2 linked regions of the Alligator mississippiensis genome follow. The protein of the gene in region 1 interacts with the protein of each later gene in a biochemical or structural test. Links are inferred from orthologs where the notes say so. Each region holds a gene or a part of one and is shown in the gene's direction. Other genes may lie near its edges.

Region 1 (9,729 bases):
GCAGAGAAATTTTACTATTATCATGTACTTTTATTTATTTATATAAAAAAACTTTTATTTTTCTTATTTATATTATTTATTTATATGAAAACCATCTCAGTAAGGTTTTTGAATACGTGCTTAAATTTAAGCATGACAGTAAAATAATATATGAATCAGTCTTACTAAAAAGCCTTTTTTATGACTGAAAAAAAAACAATTTTAGAATTTCACATGCTGTGTTTTTCCAGTTGTACTGTGTAGTTTGTGGGTGGCAGGAGGAATTGTTCTGTTTTGCTTTTTCCTAAATTTCATGAATGACTACAGATGAGTTCCAGAAATGAGAGAGGGTGTTTGGAGTCAAATTAAATTTAAGTTAGGTGTTCCGTTTTGCCCACAGTCTAGAAGAGTTTGTTTTGAGTGCATCAAGAGCTCCCAAGTTGCTCTAAGAACTACTAAGATTTCAACAAAACCTTCTAGAACCTCTTGAGTATTTCTGAGAGATTTCCTTCCTTTCTCATCTCAGTGGCCCCTGCTGCTCTTGGAACACTAATTTGTACTTGGGGCAATATTGCTCCTGGTCAAATGCAACTGCATTACCACACTTGCCATCGTACCTTTCTCTCTTCCTCTCCCTTTTCCAGTTCTGCATCCACAGATGTCTTCATTAATCTGAGTCTTAAGGAACATTTTTAAAATTACTCAACTGTATTTTAATCTTAATGTTGAACACCACCAGTTTCACTGGGGATTTGGTAATTAAAGAGCCACATTGGCTGTCTGTAAGAGGATGGTAATAGTATGCATTTTCATCACTTGGGGAATGCATAGCTAGGTTAGTTGAAAAGTATTTTAGAACATACAAAAAATGCAGATTATTTTTAATTAAGGGAAGATAGCTACCAGGTAGTAATTAACAGTTTTAAATATAAAACTGTGCAGAAAAACACTGGTCACAGCAATAATGTTATGCAAATTAAAATGATTGCTTAAGGTAGTTAGATTTAACATTCCCAGATGTCTAGAGCTAAATAAATTCTCAATGAGAGCACAATGAAATCTTAATCTACATTCAGGCAATATCTTGCAACACTGTTGCCAGTCAGGAGTAACAAGGAGAAACATCACCAATATTTGGGAACAGAGAGCCCATTCAAACCTGGGACATCTAATGACAATAAGACCTGATTTTATTTATTTATATCTATATAAATAAAATTCAATATAAAAAATGTGGCCATTACAGAAATCACAATTTGGATGCTGCCTATCCTAATTCAGACTATATCACTGTGGGAGATTTTCATTTAAGCAACAGCTGCATTTCACTAATCAGCCAAAAAAAAATGAATGAAACATGTGACTACATTTTCATTCTTGGCACACTCAAATAAAAGCCTCAACAACCAGATCCAATTTATGTTAATTCATTTTTATTTCTATTTGTTTTCAAATAAGCCAAAGGAAAAGGGACTAGTTTATTATGCTATACATAGTGTTCTGTGTGAATCCTAGAAATTAGACATTTCCAATTTTTTTGGGGTGGTATGAGGCTTTAAGGAAAAAAGGAAGGTAGCTGTGCGTGGGTTTGGGGTATGTTTTGTGGTTAGATTTAGAATTTTTTGGAAATTTCAAGGAAAACAAATCTAATCTTTCATTCTGATCTTTGTCCATGGGGAGAGAATTCTCAACTGTAATAAACTGAACCAAATCAAATAATCATAATGGTAATAAATTATAAGGGGGCTTGCAATTTGCTGTGCATAATAGGTGAACAAAGGTTCTTGATCCTTTTCAACGAAGATAACAAGTCACTTTGCAAATATACGTAGATCATTGTATTTTCTTGAAATGCAACCAAATTAATAATAGGAAATTGAAAGGCCGTACATTTCATCCTTTGGTACTCTTTCAACTCCAGTGAAAATCTAAACATTACCTTAGATGTAACTGTATCTGAACACATTGGATAATGGCGCTGTTCCTAAGATCTTTTTCCAAAGTATTTCATGCACCCAGTGCAGTGTGTACAGGTGTACAAGACTCCCTTACATAGTATACATACAAATAACTCTCTTCCTATGTCTGGCCAACTGCCCTCTGTTTTGAACTTGTTTTTTATAGAGTGAAACAAAATGTCCTATTTGTATGTGTGCTGAGGGCTGAGATACCAGAATAAGTGTGTTGTGTGTTACTATCCTATTTGTGGAGGTGATATGTACTCACAAAACTGTTAATGTCAGTTTTTGGCATCTCTGACAATTAAGCCATTATAAATAGGGCCCTGACAGATTCAGCAGAATGAGCAGTGGCAGTTCCACTTGAATGGAAGCAGATATGAAATATTAGCTCACTCTTTCAACTGAGTGCTAGTTTTAGGCTACAAAAGTATTTCAGCTCAGCATTTACTGAGATGAATGCTAGTAGTAGTTGGGAATTCTGGGTGAAGACCCATTTAATGTTTCAGTTGAGGAATAATTGATAATGCCATTTCAATGTTAGATGATTACTGATTGAAAATGTCAGTCCAAAACATCAGATAAAATTCCAAAAAGCCACTGTTATCATTTCAGTATTCACGAGTGTATATTATAAAAATGTTAACCAGCAGCTGTTTTGATTGGGCAGAGTAGTGATTAGTGTGTCAGCATGTCTAATTGTCCTCTGTTTGAAATATCCTAACTAAAATTTGTTGAGCTTTCTCTAGTAGCTGGTCCTCTAATATTCTCAAATCTAGTGCAACCAATATTTGTTTTGTTTTTATAGGGTTAAAACCTTTCTTTTGGGGGAGTGATTTTTGGGCAAACACCAATATTTGTTTAAAACTTAAGATCTCTTTAGTATTTTTATAAGTATTAGGGTGCTTCTCCTCTTTTTTCTTCTGGTCTCCCTCTCTTTCTAACTTGCTATTTGTTATATTCTAAAACTATAAACAAGAATCCACCATCCCTACTTTACACCTGTACTGTGCTGTGTTAACATTCCTCTCTTCTGCAGCATCAGTTCAACATAGAAAAGGCCAGTAACAGGACAAATGATAAATGGCATCAATTTCACAGATGTACTAAGTATTTCAGTACATTTGGCAAAAACACATGCAGCATTAAAAGCTATTGCTTTAGGATAAACAGTATTCAATATACATTAGTTGTATATAATACCACACTGGGTGCCACAAGCCTCTGGCCAGTCAGGCCCAGTTAGGCCAAGCTCTTGAGCTTCCACACTTGGCCTTGATCCCATACTAATGCAATTGCCCCAGTTCTCTATAGCCAGACTGGCTGCTGAGAGCACTGCTCAGCCCTTTTAAGCACTGCTACAGCCTCAGACTATAGGTACACTTTGATAATGCTCTTGGTCTGCTCTGGCAAGTCTTGCATTCACTGCTCTCTCTGGTTCTTAGCTCCTGACTTGTTTGTGGCTTTTCTTGACCCTAATCTTGGATCTTCCCTGAAACATGGCAACTGGCCCTGATTCTCCTGGCTCCTAATTTGGCTCTGACTTCCCTTGACCCTGCTCTTGGATATTTTCTGCAATTTGGCATCTGACTCTCCTGCTTTCCAACCTCAGTTTGCACCTTGTCTCTCAGGCCTCCCTTTCAGCTTTCCTGGAACCTGATCCTGCGCCCTCTGCTCCACTGATCCAGACCACAATTGACATCTTGGTAAACTGTACCCCCCACCTAGCAGGCTTCCTGGTTGCCCTTCAGGATCTACCTGGAGGCCCAGCCACCTAATTCCTGGCTGAACCCTCACACTGGATTTCTTCTATAGACTCAAATGTGGGATTGCTGCACCTTGGGACACAATACTTTCAACAGAAAATGATCATTATGTGGCCCTAGGCCATTAAGTAAATATTGACTTGTAAATTTCTTGAGGCAACTTGGGTACTTGGTTGATCCTTACACACAGTTTTGCCAACTCAGGTAATTTGTTGTAATAGCTGTGATCCTTGTTATTTTTCTTCAAGCCTCAGCTCACAGAGCTATATATAAAAGTGAGGATTTCAGATTTCATTTAATTTCAGAAGAGTATGCTTCTACACCTCTTGGTCACAAAGAATCCCTGGACTCAAACACCAGAAGGCAACTGAAGAGAACTTATGCATCTTCCAGTTTAAGCCACTTTGGGCAGGCTAGTCTGAGACACGTGGAATTGCCCAATGTAGAAGTAATGTTTAGAGTGCCAGTCCAGGAATTTTGCAAAAGACAAGGATGTCTTGGACAATATCTTTTATTGGAATACCTGCATGTTTGCGATAAGGTTAGGCAAGCTTTTGAATGCAAGGCTCCTGAAAATTAAGGTAACCTACTGAAGAATGCCTTACATTCAAAAGTTTGATTAACCTTATCCCAGCCACACAGTTTGTCCAATAAAACCTGGAAAAAAATCCTTGCTTCCAACATATGGGGAAGACTTTAATCCTTCTCACCCCCTAGAACAGTGATTCTCAACCTTTTTAGATTCAAGGCATCCTTCAATAGACAAAGGTCGCCCCTTGAAAAAGGTCAGTTCTTAGTTTTCGCTTGATTTTCGCTTGACTACAGGAAAATAACAGAACAATTCTTGTTGCAAAGAACTCAGATCGCAATAGGTCACAATGCTTTTAATACTATGGATTCTGCGGGCCTTGTTGCACGGTAATTTCGGGCAGCTCCTGGAGCTCCTAACACCTGGGTTGTCTGCACATGAACACCTAGGGTTACCATACATCCGGGTTTTCCTGAACATATCCTTTTTTTGGGTCTGGGCAGTTTTTTAAACTGCTGCCCCTCGTTCCCAACCCACAGTACCCCAGGCAGGCGCTGAAGGGTAACCAGGAGGTCAGCTAGGAGGAGGCAGGGGCCTGCAGGTCAGGAGTGAGGGGCACTGGCAGCGCTGTGGGGTGCTGCGGCTTGGGAGTGCAGGGCACAGGCAGGGCCAGGGGGCAGCATGGGGGCAGGGCATGGCCTGGAGGGTGGGGAACGAAGGGCAGCAGAAGGCAGCTGGGGGGGGCAAGAGGCTGCAAGTCAGGAGTGAGGGGCACCGGCAGGGCTGGGGCTTGAAAGTGAGGGGCAGGGGCTCACCCTTCTCCCCCCTCTCTTTCTTGAAACTGGAAAAAAACACGGCAACCCTTGAACACCTGAAACTAGTATCAGGCGTGCTTGGGCGGCTCAAAGGTAGCAGGTTGGTGTGTGACCCGCGTTACCTGGCCGGTGTCATACTGCGCGGCAGGCGCCCAGGGCGACACCGTGTGAACGCTGCCCCCGCCCGTGCCGGGGAGCGCAGACGGGTGACCCCACCCGCCCCGGGAGCCCCGCCCGCTGCAGCCCCGCACACGGGTGGGGGAGGGGGAAGCCGCCGGCACTGGTCCAGCTCCCCCGTTGCCATGGCAGCCGCCGCCGCTGCCGGAAGTGCTCCGCGGTGCCCCCCTCTCCCCCCGGCCCCGGGGAGCGGCGGAAGATGGCGGACGGCAGCCGGCAGGACGAGGAGGCGGCGGCAGCGGCGGCCTCGGGCAGCGGGCGCGGGCCCCGGCCGCGGCCCCCCACAGCCCGCGATCTGCAGGTGCGCCCGGGCTGAGCGGGGCGGGAACGCCCCCCACTGCCCCTCAGCGGGGGGCGGGAGGGGAGGGGAGCGATGCTGCTGCCAGCCTGCCCCACCCCACCCCGCCCCGCCCCGCCCCGCGTCTCTGGCGTCCCAGCCGCGCCGCGCCGCGCCCTGCCGGATCTTTGTTGTCAGCCCGGGCTGCAGCCGAGACCCGACTCCCAGTTTACACGTGGGGTGTGACTCCAGAGCGGCCCGCCCGGTGCAGGAAGGAGTCTGGCTTGGGTTTACCCCCTGCATCACCTTTGGGTGCCCAGCGGCACCACCCCCGGCAGGACCTCCAGGCTGCCCTGGGTGGGACCCGCCTGCCAGGGTACAAGGACGGGGGTTGCCTCTCACGGCTGAGGAGACCCTGCAAAACAACCTCTGCTTCCCCTTTGGAGGAGGCGAGGGACCTAGGTCTCCCCGGCAGGAGGAGCAAGTACTTGTGTGGAGAAAACCAAGTCTGCACCAGTAGTTTTATGCAGGGTTCCAGTTGCAGGAGAGCTGGGGAGTGAGCCCCCTATGAGAAACAAGGGCTGTCCTATAAGATTTGAAAATCATAACCTGGGATGCTCCGATTTTATTAGGGTATTGTGATGGACAGCCCAATTTTTTTTGCTTCCCCCCACCCCGCAAGAGGTCAAGTGTAATTCAGACCCTGGTTCTGTGTTCGCATTCTTTGCAAGGTGTCACCAGTTTATTAGTTAAATACCACTAGGGATTTTTTGAGCAGGTGTTTTTTCATTGGCTTCTGAGAGAAGACAACCTTTGGCCCCCTGTACAGCTCAGTGGCACACACATGCAATTTGAGCTTGGCCTGGTGACAAATTTGTGACTTTGTTAATAGCCTTCTGTACTTCAGTGCTTTCCTGGAAAATGCCCGGCTTGCCGCTGAGATTATTGGAATGCAGCGAGCGCCGGAGAACCCACCTGGTAAAGAGCAGATGACGGTGGTCTCATTGCGATGGTTGCTTTTGTGAACCAAGTAGTACCAGCATTGCTGCTGTTCAGCACCTCCAGCAGTGAGCATGATGACATTTTTGCGCCATTTGTGTATCTAGAGAAATGCAAGACCGAGCTGTGTTGGAAAACGAAATCTTAATATATTTTTTAAAACTGAGTAAATGGTGTTAAATACAGTAACAGATGAGCTACCAAAAATGACATATTTAGTATGCCTCCCACAAATTCTTTTAAAACTGAATCTGCCAGAGAAATGGCGGCACCTATGTATGGCTACCCTTGGGGAGAACCTTAAATAAAGGGAACTGCAGCCTTTTTTTTGGGGCCTGTGATTTTAATCATGTGCTGAAGACGCATTAAACATAGGATTAAGTACTTTGCTGAATTAGAGCTATGTTTCCTGGTTAGCATTTCATGTAAGAGCTAAAAAAATAAATTCAAAGTTATTCCACTCATGAGCTTTATCAAAAGTAAAGTGGCCTCTTGTTTGGCATGAGTACAGAACCTCTTTATTTATCATAACCTGTATCAATAATGAATCCTGAACCAATATTTCTGTATTAAGTCTCAAGTCATTTTGAATCCAGGGTAGTCCTGACATATTCTTAAGCACTTCAGACTTGTGTGTTTTCTAATGTGTAACTAAGTGCAAGCTTGTTTATTTTGGAGCACAGATGCACAAAATCAAAGCATCTGTTTACAAATCATTTGTTTCTCTCATATTAATGTTGGTTGTCCTGTATCACTGAGGTGCACACATTGTATTAGTTATTTTTAATCCTGTGTTCTTTGTGCAGTTTACACTTCTAATGTTAAAGACTTTCTAAAAAAAATTGGTGTTTCTTATAGTTGGCCTTGGCAGGATTGTATCAGGATGAAGTTAAAAGTCAATCGTCCCATTCTGACAGACCAACAGGTATCCTGGTCAATAACCCAATAGTACCTGTTCAGAGGTAAGAAGTATTTTGCTCTTCATTATTATTTATTCATGTGTTTGTTCATGTGAAATATGAAATATTTGCTTTAGTTCACCAACCTTGCTGTTGTCACAATATTCTAATATTTGATCTGAAAGAACAGAATATTATATAGCACAGCTTGTTTAAAAATGCTATTATTATGTAGAGATGTGAAGAGTGGATCACTACAATATGTAAGTTCTTCTTAGGAATCTCTTTTAGCACATAATAATTTATCAACTCTTCTTTACACTGCAAGTTTTCCAAACCGCTCTGTTAGGTGCAGAAGTATCTGTCTCTCTCTCAATTTCTTGGTGAACTTTTTTTAGGACCAGGAACAATCCACATCTTTTCTATGTTAGGAAACCATGGTGCTTGCATCAATATAAGATGCACCAACTTTGTTCATTAAATCCTTCCCAAAAATAAGTCTCAGAAGCTGCCATCTGGCAGATGTCCTCTACGGTTCTTAACAAGAGTAAAGAACTTGGATGGACATCCCCTGTATTGTGAAGAAACTGAACATAACTTTCTTTTTTTTCTTGGATGAAGGCTTTTTAGGGGCATATAGCCAGCAAGAATTTGACTTTCAGTATTTAGAGTTCACATAACAGAATATTTAGAAACTCACAGCCTTCTCAAAGATTTGTGAGAAGGATATTTAGCCTTCTTAGTCTGAAATCAAGCAAAAGGCAGGGTAGATTAACACCTAAATCAGAAATGTATAAGCTTTCATAAGTAGCAACTTACTTCATCAGATGCTGAGAAGTGACTGGAGGAACAAAGCAGAGCTTCTAACTAGAAAAAAGTGATTAGAATACAAAAATAATCCTGCCACATTTAAACTTAAGTAAAAATAAAAGCAATATAATTTTAATTTAATAATAGATAAATTGTGTTTTCTTTAAAAATATATATTTATCTGGATTTAGTATACGGGATAAGAACCAAAATAAGGTTTGTGTAACTCTTCAGTTATACCACCTCAAGTCAGACCTATCTGTGTGTATTTCAATAACAAAAGCAGGTGTATGCCAACAGAGAGTTTTTGCATTTGGAGAATAGTTTCCATTTGTCCACAGGGATCTCTGGGAAAAAAACGGAATTTGGCACAATGTTGGGCTCTCAGGTAACTGTGTCTAGTTGAGAATACCTGTCCAGCCTGGACAGGTAATCTATAGAGATTACTATTAAACATTATTTGTCAATACTGCTAAATTATAATTCTCACTTCTAAGCAAAGGAAAAACTGGAATTGTATTTTAAATACTTTGGTAAATATGAGCAGACTCCTGCTTTTTATTGGTAACCACATACTGGGACTCTGATCTCTTGGCAGGATGCCTTTTCAAGGATGCCCTTTAATGTAAGGAATTCCGTCTTTAAGTATATTTTAGTCCAGGGGTGTCACAGGTATTACCTGCAGAGCCGTATCATCTGGACTGTGGGCTCTTGAAGGGTCTGCAAATTCCAGAATGGGCTGTTGCCAGATTCTAGCAACCCAGTGGAGACCTGTGGTGTGTTGGTAACAAAGGAACAAATGACACTTGCATTAACCCTTGTCACTCCCTGACACTACTTGCTCTGCTGCTGGAGGCAAGTCTGGATCCAGCGCACAAGGATTCCCGTGTTCTGTATCTGGCCTGCAGTGAGCCCTTTGGGGTCAAGAGAGTTTTATCTGTATGTCATGCTTTTTCTAGCTGTGAAGCTAAAAGGACTTTGTTATATAAATTAACAGGTTTTCAGCTGATATAAAATCTCAATTTCACCTCTAAAATCAATTGGAGCTATGGTATTTTATATGAAAGAAAGACCTGGTGCCTGAGTTACTTGCATTAAAATATTTTAAAATCCATTATCAGAATTTTGTTGTCAGTATAAAGCTTTACAATTTTGACTTTTTAAGTATATTTTTGAATATACATAATAAATGGAAGGGCAGAGGGGAAATGCTTCTAAGTACTTTTGGGTAGAGACTGGCTGTATTTGCAGTGTTCAGGTTGTGTTCTGAGGATTTATTTAATCTATTTTACATGAAGCAGAAGTCTGGAAAGTCACAAGACAGAAAATATTTGTTGCCACGGATGAATTATTCACTAATCAGAAACTAATCATGTTTCTAAATACATTTTTTTATGTATTGGCAGTCTTAAAATTGACTCTTTCAGAAGCTTGAGAAAACCAGAAAGAAGCATGAGTGATGACAAAGAAAACCAAAGGTATGAAGCACAAAAATGTATTCACCTGTAACAGTTGTGAAA
Region 2 (10,610 bases), on another chromosome or scaffold:
CAAGAATTTAAATAAAAGAATGACCTCAAGTTCCCTTAGCAGTACAAGTAAAAATAATACAAGTTTTGAGTCTATATAACACAACACTATATGGCATAACATAATTATACAAAGTTTATTTTTAAGTTAGTACTAATAGATACAAATAGGTACCTCTGTTGTTCTGATATCCACAGTGAATATAGCTTTGTTTGGGTTGCGTACAGCAGTCAGGAAGGACTGGGCAGACTCCTCTACGGTCAGGGCATTCAAGAAGGAATAAGAAGTGCTACTAAATGAACTGGACAGGGAGTCTGATTCCAGTTGAACCCAAGAGTTACTAAGTTTGCTGGTACTAATGTTGTGAGCAGCCAGTGAAGACAAACAATAAGAACTCCACCCATTCCCTATGACAAGGAAAGAGAATCAGCTACAGAAATCTGCAAATGGAGCATTTACATGAGAGAGAATGTTCAGAGAAAGATTAAGCATCAGCTGAAACAATTTTCAAATAGTTAAACATCAAAACATAAATTTTGAGGCTAAGGAAGGATCTTAAACTATTCATAATTACATTAATAATAATGAAAACACTGCTAACTCATACAATTGCTTGGATTGGATGTAGTAAGTATTCCAGTGGCTATAACCCAAAGACTGAAAAAATTGTGCTTTTGCATGATAACCAGTAACATAATTCTGCTTGCCTTTAGCCCAAACCAAGTGAAATGCAAAAAAAATTCTGTTGTTTTAATAATCTAAACTGCAGTTATTTTAAATATTTGTTTAGTCAGAAGTCAGTTAATTAACTGTTCATAACTAAAGCAGATCTGTGATTGAAATGCTACCCTAGTCCTCAGTTCTCATAACTATGTGAATGTGCACATCTTGTCAACCAACTGTGCCAAAAGTCTTGGCAGCACTGCCTGTAAACTGTGGTACTTCAGGAAGTGGCAGAGCATCAACCATGAAGCCTCACCATTTCACTCCTGAAAAAAAGAAGCAGCTTTCAGGAACAGGCAGCATTGCAAAGAGGTCACAATTGGAGCAGTCTGATGGTATCTATACCAGTTATGCCCAAACTTTTCATCCCACAGGCCAGATGGGCAGTACTAAATCAATCTGTGGGTCAGACCCAGATGATGGACCTAATCTGGAGCATGGGGCAGAAGGGGCCCTGCCCCAATTCTGCTGAGCAGCAATGGCTCAGCCCCATCCCAGCAGGGTAGGCAGGAATGGCCGGGCCCCATTTCAGCTGCAGAGGGGAAGGCAGCCCAAGCTGATCCAGGCATATAGGGACATGGATGGGCAGTAGGCCTGTATGAAGTGGCTAGTATTCACTTCTGATTCAGCCGATTTGGGGGACAGTAATTTGATTCAGTGATTCAAATCACTGTCCTGAATTGATTCGGACAAATCTGATTTGGAGATTCGGCTGCTGTCAAATCAACGGAATTTCTGAGTCACACAGGCCCCATCCCCTGCCCACTCTCCCAGCCCCGGCTCTTTGAAAAATAAAAGCCCCCACTCACTGGTTCCTGCCCAGCGAGGGGTGATCCCCGCTGCCCACCACTGCCCTTTGCCACATAGTGGGACTCTGCAATGAGCCCCTGGACCCGCGACTGCTCTCCCAGCCCTGCTATGGCTGCCCTGCCTGCCCCAGCTACCGGCCCTTTAAAAAAAAAAAAAAAAAAGCTCCATATACTCACCAGCTCCTGCCCAGCTGGGGGTTGACCCCTGCCGCCCTGCGCTGCATGGGGGGGATTTTCCATGAGCCCCCAGAAGCCCCAAGGCTGCTGCAGCAGCTAGTAAGTCCAGAGTTTTGGGGTTTTTTTAAAGGGCCAGGAGCTGGGGTGGACCAAGGGGTGGGGGGGGGGAGCTTGTGGCAGAGCTCCCCCATGCAGCAAGGGGCAGTGGGGGGCAGCAGGGATTCCCCCCTTGCTTGGCAGCAGCGGGTAACTAGAGGCTTTTTTTAAAGAGCCAGGAGCTGGGGCCGGGCAGGGCAGCCACTGGGGTGGCTGGGAGAGCAGGTGGGGGTTGGGGGGCGCTCTGAGGGACTGGGAAGCAGGCAGGGAATGTGGCCTGGCACGGGTCCCCCCATGGTCCCCTCCCCCTCCTCCAGCCTTCCCTCCCTCGCCGCCTACTTATCAGCATGGAGTCAGGGTCCAGCTCCCTGCTGCAGCCAGCTGGGACTGCCCAAATCACCAAAGCTCTCCGAATCTTTTCTGAATCAATTCAGAGAGCTTCAAATTGATTTGGACCTTTTAATTTGTCCCAATTCGATTTGGATTCAGAGATTCATCCACCGAATCGGACCGAATCTCCTCTGAACCGAATCAGCACCCAAAGCTTTGCACAGCCCTAATGGGCAGCCCAGGTCCATCTGCCCCATGCTGCATGGGGTGGGGGGGCAACCTGGCCCTGATCCAGCCACATGGGGGAGAGCGATAGAACAACCAGCCAGGGCCCAATCTAACTGTGGAGTGCAAGGCCAGCCTGGGCCCCATCCAGCCACATGGCAAGAGCCTGAGCCAGGCCTGATTGACTGCGTGGGGCTCAGTATTTTGGCAGTACGGGTGCAGTGGCAGTATTAATTGACACTGCTCCCTGCAACTAAATTTTCTGACTTGTGGGGAGCCATAGCTCCGAGAGATAGATTTGGCTTACAGGCCAGGGGTTGAGGACCCCTGATCTACACAGTTATACTGTCTGTGACTAGTATGTAACAGACACACCCAGCCCATGAATACATTCCAAGTTCAATTCCCTCCCTTCTCAATTCCCCTAGTACCAACATAATCTTCTCCCCTTTCTTCCCTCCCCCTGCCAGTTACTTCATTAATTCTGTCATTTCTGATATATAAGGCAAACCTTACAGACATTTAAAAGCATGCACATCTCTTCAGTTAACAAGTTCACATTGACAGAATACTGTGGGATAATCACCAGACAAAGATGGTTTACTCCGGCAAAGTTTAGAAAGCCGGCTTTTCCTGCTCTTGTTGGTCCAAGGATAGGATTTGCTCAGCTCATCAGAGTCATTTAGTCCTCGGAGGGATAACCCCGGTGAGGAACATGCTAGCCCCTGTTCACCACAGCTGTGTTCCATGGCTGCCATATTCAAACTGTCACGTCACCCTTGGGATCCACCATCTCTGAAGGAAATACAGAAGAGTTCAGTCAGATTTACAAGTTGTAATCCAAAGCATAAGGGCACCTTGTCAGTGTGCCTCAGATCTAGCCACAATGAGGAGTGAGACAAGGCCTTGGGTAACGTTTTCTGAAGCTTTTTATCATTTATGTCCAGTTTTCAAAAGGCCCCGGGGTGTCTAAATGACCTCACTTAGGACCATTTTACCCACAAACACCACGAGGCAAATAAAACACCACCACCACCAGGGCACCCCTTAGGAAGACTAGGACCAACAGTCACAAACTCTTGGAAGACCATTTTAGGCTGGACATAAGGAAAAACTTCTTTACTGTCTGAGTCCCCAGGGCCTGGAATAGACTCCCCAAAGAGGTGCAGGCACCTACTCTGGATTCCTTTAAGAAACACTTGGAGGCCTATCCTGCTGGGATCACATGACCCCAGCTGACTGCCTGCTCGCCCTTTGGGCAGAGGGCTGGATCCGATGATCTTGTGAGGTCCCTTCCAGCCCTGATGTCTATGAATCTATGAAGGCCAAGTTTTTCCATGGCTGTATGAGCCTTTGATCTCTGTTCTTAACGCCCACCTGGCTTTTCCAAGTTACTTCTGAAGAAGGAATGTGCCCTCAGCCAGCCCCGCTTCTCATTGCTAGGGTCATTTTCAAACACAGAAAAAGGCTGTACTAGTGACAGGCTCTTCCTTAAGCCTAACCTTCACTAGATGTCTCCGATGAGCTACATGGGAATTCCTAGGGACACAAAGTAAAAGTGTCCTACAACAGAGGGGGACACAAGGTAGCCCCACACCCTAGGTGCCACTCCACCCCCTTCCCCTGCCTCACGGGCTGCTGTTCTTGCCTTGCGCTCCCTGCCTGCGCAGCTGCCCCCAGCGGGATGGGCAGCTCTGCCCTGCCCTCGTCTCCCTGCCTGTTATCAGGGCGGCGCTGTCTTCTGCTCCCTGACCCATCCGCTGCTCTGCCGTCCGCTCCCTGCCCCGTCCGCCCCCTCGCAGGGACCCGCGAGCCGTCTTGCGCCAGTTACGGCCTCACCAACCCGGCGCCGCCGCTCCCCCGACCCCCCCAAGCCGCAAGAGGCCGGGAGCAACTCCGTACCCTGCAGCCCAGAGACACGGGGCTGAGCAAGGCGTCTCAGTGGCACGAACCAGCGGCGGCGGCGCCGACTCCCTCAGTCCGGGCAGCAACGCTTGCCGCGCCGGGAAAGGGGCGGGCCGCGCTCACCTCTCCGTCCAATCCGGAGGGCGGAACCCGAGGGGACGGTTGGGATTGACAGCCATAGCAGCCAATTGGCCTCCGGGGCGCGCGGCCCAAACGGCTTCTCCATGGGCCAAATCCCCGCGCGCGGGGTTGCTAGGGACGCGGTCGCCTCTGCCTACGGGGCGCGGGAGGGGGCAAAATGGTCCAGCGGGGTTTAGGAGCGCTCTTCCTGCGTGCGACGCTCTGTGTATGGTGCTGTGCGTGTGACTGGGTTGTGTTAGGGGCAGTCAGAACAGAGCTTGCTGCGGAGTCTTACCCCATTCCCTTGGACTCGCTAGGCGGAGCCCTTGCTGAGTCCCTCAGCGGGGTAGCTGCTTTGTTTCCCTCCTGCCCCTTCATTTTTTCGACCACTGCTTTCTAGTAGAAAACTCCATGTCCCGCATGCCCTTCATCATGAAGCACCGGAGGAAGTCAGCCCCTGCTTGGGGAAGCTCATGCGAGGGGCAAGGACGTGTTAAGGTGGTATCTTGTACTGAGCCAACTCTGGAGCTAGGTTCAAGTCAGAGCTTTGGCACGGTGGCAGGAAGGCGGGCACGGAGCGAGCACAGCGCAGGGGAGGGGCTGACACAATTAGGGAAAGAAAAACAGCGGGTTACTGGGAGATCAAGGCCTATCGTAAGGAATGGCGGGGGAGACGCTGATAAGTCTCGTCTTTGCGTGGGAAAAAAATCAGAATTAAAATGGGCCATAAACCGTTATCAGAGCTGGTTCTTAGTGTCAAGCCAGGTTATGCGTTTTTATTCCCATGTTTGCCTTTTACAGGTGTTAGGTAGATTTCCCTTGGGCTTGTGGCTCTCCACTTACACGTCTCTGAGGTAGTTAGTCCACAAAGTGCAAGTCCCCCTGCCTTCGGCCCCACCCTGGGCTGAAGCCATTTACATGCACCTCCTAGTCATTGGGCGACTGATCGGAGTGTAGGTATCACGTATGGATGCTGGGCACTGAAGTGGCACTGAGGGGCTCCATCCGGGGCCGAGCGAGGCAGTGTCCAAACCTGCCTCGGAAGGACCGGTGTGAGCCCTGTGACAAGAGGGTCGCAGTACCCCAGCTGCCCAGCCCTGGCCAATGCTCTGCCTGCGTTGCAGCGGAGCTGGTTTTTACTGAGGGCTGTGCTGAGCCACCCACAACGCTGCACAGCGGGATCCACCGAGAGCCCGGCTGGCCCCGGCCCCGCTTCCGCCGCCGAGGCCGGGGAGGAGGTAGAGCGGGCTGGCGCCGGGCCAAGCCCCGCAGTACCTCTACCCCCCGCCCTCCTCTGCGTGAAGGCGGAAACTACATCTCCCGTAAGGCTGCGGGGTGCTGGGGCGGGCGTACGCATGCGCAAAAAGCCCCCCCCCCCCCCCGGGAGTCTCGGTGAGGAAAGCGAAGACGTGAGTGGCTGGAAGGCTGGCTCCCTGCAGCCGGGGATTGGCTGCGCGCGTGGCGGCAGCGAGTTCCGGAAAGAGGGGGGACGGGGGCAGGAAAAGCAACATGGCGGCGGAAAGCGGAGAAGGGCCGCAGGAGATGATGGAGGGTGAGAGGCCGCCGGCGGGCCCGGCCCGGGGGGAGGGACCCGCGGCCCGGCTAGGCCTCACGTTCGGGGCCGGGGCGGCTGGGCCTAGGGCGAGAGCGAGGCGCTGGGGCAGGACCCGCAGGCGCGGAGCACAGGGTCGGGCGGCCCCGGGCGGGCAGGGCGACCGGGTCCGAGCTGCTTCACCTCCTTGCCCCCACCATCGGCCCCTGATCGTGAGGCCTGTGGGCGCGTCCAGAGGCTTCGCTGATCCCAGCCAAGCCGCAGCCTCTCGGGCTCTGGAGGGGCTGGTAGGGCGAGGAGCAGCCCTCCTTGAAACCAGGGTGGAAGTTGCCAGCCCCCTCTGCGCTTTTTAAATGTAACCATACTAATTCAGTCTCCTTAACCCTTGGATTCGTACTCCATTGATCTAAGAAATGTCCTTTTTCCTCCAGTCTTCTTCCCAGATTGTTGGTTTTAGGAAGATGTGAAGGGAGGAAAAAGTGTTCCAAAAATCAAAGTAAAAACAAGGGGTAAGAGGCCTTTTATTTAAGACTAAACCTTTAATTTAGTAAATTTAGGATCTCTACTAACCACATGGTGGTTCATGTCAGTCTTGGTTGTTGTACCTGCTTGGTGCTCTCTCTTCTGAAAGCAGCCTAAGCCTGCTGTTCTGTATCTCTCACAGTTGACAGGCGGATTGAATCGGAAGAGTCAGGGGATGAAGAAGGGAAGAAGCAAGCAGCTTGCATAGTGACAGACCTCAGCCAGCAGAGCCTGAGAGATGAGCAGAATGGTGAGAATTCAACAGGTATACAGTCAAGTTACATCATCATTGCAGGGAGGGCTTCTCTGTGCTCTATGTAACAAGATGCTTGTACCACTTCAGATGGTTGCAGTGATTTGAAGAGCATCCACTGAGCACATTTGCTTTAGTTAATATGTGAATCTGCCCTGTGATGCTCTATTCTGGAATCCATATTGTGGCACTGCATTCGTTTCCAGTACTTCATTTTAGAGGATCATTTAAGTTACAGGCTGTTGTCATACTTCCATGTTTATCTGTCTCTGCAAACATATTTGACTTTGAAAGAAGCCCTAAGAGTTTAAAGTACTAGTGGATCTCATTGTAGCTCTGTTACTTTTATTGCAGAGAAGTAGCTAACCCCATTATTAATACTAACATACTTTTTATGGCCTTTTTAATTTTGTCTGGAAATATGCGACTTAGCCTGAAACTTGCTAAATTGCTGGAGGGGAAGGCGGCAGATGTTTTCTGGAAGGCTTGAAGTAAATTTGTCAAATAGTTTTTGAGTTGCAAGGCACTTAATTACCCCGATGTAAAATTTATTTTCTGATGGTACTTGTCTAATGATTTCTTGAATCTTTTGGCTCAAAGCTTACCCATTATTGTTAGTTATGAACATTTTGTATTGCTTACACAGCTGTCTGAATTGCCTTGGTCTTGCTTTAATGATTCGTGTGGGAGCTATCAGAGCGGACACCTGCCAACCTCATTTTATATTTCTGGCACGTTTGGTTTTTTTCCAAAGATGAAGAAAAGATGGGATATAATGCAATAAAAGCGTTACCCAAAAGAAAAAAATAGACATTGCTGTTTAGTGTTCAAATAAGAGGCAGCAAAAGACCAGGAACATACTTGCACTTTTTGAGTAGGCATACTAAGGAATTTGAGAGATTATCTGGAAATGAAATAAGATCTCTGGCCAATTCTTCACTGCTGCATAATCATTTCTGATGGATCATTGCCACACCTGATTTGCAGAGTTCATCACATCCTAACATTGTTCCATAAAATTTGCAAAAATATACTCAAAATTAGCAAATTACCAGAAGTGTTTAAAATCTCTTTTTCTATTCCATTTAATCTTTCCATTATGCCTTAACACAGTGGTTCTCAACCCTTTTTGTACCAGGACCCATTTGTAAACATTGATGGCCACGCCCGACCCAGTGCCCCTCACTCCTGACCTGCTGTCCCAGGCCCCAGCCGTCTAGTGTGTGGTGCATGGGGGTGGGGCCCAAGCAGCCACTTGCAGGCTGGAACTCTGCCAGCCTGCAGGGGGAAAGTTACAGCTTCCCACTTTTTTTTTTCCTCTAAAGGGGAATCCATTTTTAAAATTTGTTCATGACCCTTTCATATATTCTTGTGACCCACTTCTGGGTCACGACCCATAGGTTGAGAAACGCTGCTCTAACACAAGGGTGGCCAAAGTGTGGTACATATGCCACAAGTGGTTGTGACAGACTGTGTGTGTGACATGACAGCCTAGGGGGAGGAGAGGTAACAGATCAGGCACGAAGCATGGGAGGAAGTGGAACACAGGACAACAGACTGGGTAGGAAGCTCAAGGGAGGGAGCAGAAAACAAAGCAGCACTCAGGGAGGATGCTGGGCTAACTTATAGCATGTCTGCCAAAAAGATTGACCCCACTACTTTAACACTACATTAATCATGAAACAGCTACATATGTTAACAAGCTTGCAAGATCTATATGTTCTTGCATAAAGCTTGAGCACCATCTAATCAACATGCCTAATAAAACCAAGTAGATTAATCATTCATAAAATTCTTCCACTACCAGCACAGCAAATCACCATGTTTTAATTATACTCTGGGGCTACTATATTTTATATAGTGCTTATTAAGCATATAGTAAAGATTTCAAAAGTAACTAACTGTCCATCAAGTAGCACATTCCTGTTATGCAATAAACCAATGGACCAAGTTCATATTGGATAAATAGATAAATTAGGACCTATGTTTAATTTTTAATTCTAGATTTTTGTTCCATAGCTACTAGAGTTCAGGAAATATTTTAACCAACTAGGACTCTGCCCTAGTAAATTATTTCTGGAATGTTTGCATTAGATCCAACCAGTCAGGGTTTGAGTTATCCAAGGAGAAGGTAAATATGTTTTTTCCATAAGAAATCTTAAGTACAGGCAGCTTAAACAACTGAGCTTTTAGAGAACTAGTTGCATGGGAAATCTAAGACAGAACTATCCAGCTTCTTACTGGCTGCCCCTCCCACCCCCCACAGTTTTCCTAGATGCAAGCTCCTGCTGCACTGTGTAGACAATCAGTTCCACACCTTCCCTTCCTTCCCTCCCTGCTTGGCTGAAGTTCCCTCCGCACTGCTGGCTTCCCTGCCTTCTGGAGAGAGATGGGAAGGGAGCCTGGAGACTCTGGCTGCTACTCAGCTAGACTAATCAGGAGAACTGTAGCTAGGGGGAGCCCAGGGCAGCCTGTGAGCTGCTAGTTCCACTGTCCTGCTCTAAGGAATAGTCTTTGAAGGTTTTCTTAAATCAGTAAGTTGCAGGCAATCTAATAAGCATGAAAAAACCTAAGAGTTAAATATGCAGTTGAGCTTTAATTATGCTAATGTCTGTGGTGTAATAGAATTGCATAACCCAGTAGTTCTGTATTGCAAGCCTCTATCTTCTAGTATATACCTTTTTTCTTCTTTCTGTAGTTTTCTGTAGCTTGTAGTCTGTGGGGGTGCATTAAAATTGTGAAATTTCAGTGTTGGAACAATTTTCTTTTCCTTAAGAAAAATAAAAATAATTTGTGCTAAAGCTATTTGCATATTTTAGTACATAAGAGTAGAATTATACTTTCACTTAATGAATGACTGCAAAAATGTCAGTCTGGGTTTCCATAACTATCTCAGTGTGGGGGGTTTATCACATTTGCTCACTTCAAGTAAAAAGGTACTATTTTTCAACCTGTCCCTTCCAGCCCTAATGTCTATGAAATCTATGAAACCTGCTAACGCTGGATTAGTATTAAGTCTAGTGATGCCTTTTCTAGCCTAGCTGCCATCACTGGTAACAGCAGATTCTGTAATCAAAATATAGTAGCTCTGTTGATGATACATTAGCCAGTATTGGGCATGGTGCTAATCTGAGTGAGGACGGTAAAACCTTTTCTCTATTAGAGTATTAAGATTTGCATATATAAATGCAACAGCCTAATGTAATGAATGCAATTTAAAACTGAACGCTCCAAAGCCAGGAAATACGAAGAGTTATAGTTCCCATAACAATACAGACTCCCCCACAGTTCATATAGAGCATACAGAATTGTTCTGAATCTTTAATCAGTAAAATCCATTGTATGTACAATGTGGATCACTTAATATTGCTATGGGAACCTTAATGTACTTGTACTCCGAAAACTGAATATGTAAAAATGATTCTAGCAGTTCTACTGCCCAAAGATTTCTAAAATTCCAGCCCCGTTGGAAGAATGCACCCTCAAACAGCTTTTTTTTCTTTCTCTTTTTTTTTCAAATAGTTTCCTTTATCCCATTTGGGATGACTTTTAGAACTCTGCCATTATCACTAGAATTCTAAAATCACAAGGAAGTTCTTCCAGTTGATTGTGATTCCCTGAAGCTATGGGAAAGGAGGCCAACTGCTTCTTCTTTGCTGTAACCAAAATGAGGATATACTCAAGGGAACTAGACAGAAAGAATAGAGAGGGTTGCTGTCAGGTTCTTCATATTTCATGGAAAGCTGCTTATTTTAGCTGGCTTGCCCATATACTAGTGACTCTTGTTCTGTTTTTAGGGCTACATAGCTTTAAGTAGCATGACTTCATATTACTGAGGCAACCCAGCGTTGCAAGCAGAAAATACCTCCTGTATTTATTTGTGACTTTTAGTAATTCTGAGGGTTGTCTGTAAATGTGG

Evidence for each region.
Region 2: the proteins of UBXN2B (region 1) and PPP1R7 form a complex in vitro, tested with the Homo sapiens proteins (2 studies listed by BioGRID). The link is inferred for Alligator mississippiensis from reciprocal best matches to the Homo sapiens genes UBXN2B and PPP1R7.

Annotation. Positions count from the first base shown.
Region 1 is NC_081826.1:69,625,564-69,635,292, reverse strand, and holds the start of UBXN2B (UBX domain-containing protein 2B), read left to right. Parts: upstream 1-5,399; 5' UTR 5,400-5,423; coding exon 5,424-5,525; intron 5,526-7,358; coding exon 7,359-7,462; intron 7,463-9,615; coding exon 9,616-9,687; intron 9,688-9,729. UniProt on the Homo sapiens protein: Adapter protein required for Golgi and endoplasmic reticulum biogenesis. Involved in Golgi and endoplasmic reticulum maintenance during interphase and in their reassembly at the end of mitosis.
Region 2 is NC_081830.1:37,601,767-37,612,376, reverse strand, and holds the start of PPP1R7 (protein phosphatase 1 regulatory subunit 7), read left to right. Parts: upstream 1-5,807; 5' UTR 5,808-5,873; coding exon 5,874-5,916; intron 5,917-6,347; exon of another isoform or gene 6,348-6,425; intron 6,426-6,580; coding exon 6,581-6,703; intron 6,704-10,610. Other genes in the region: PASK (PAS domain-containing serine/threonine-protein kinase), read right to left, coding at 154-386, 2,926-3,097. UniProt on the Homo sapiens protein: Regulatory subunit of protein phosphatase 1.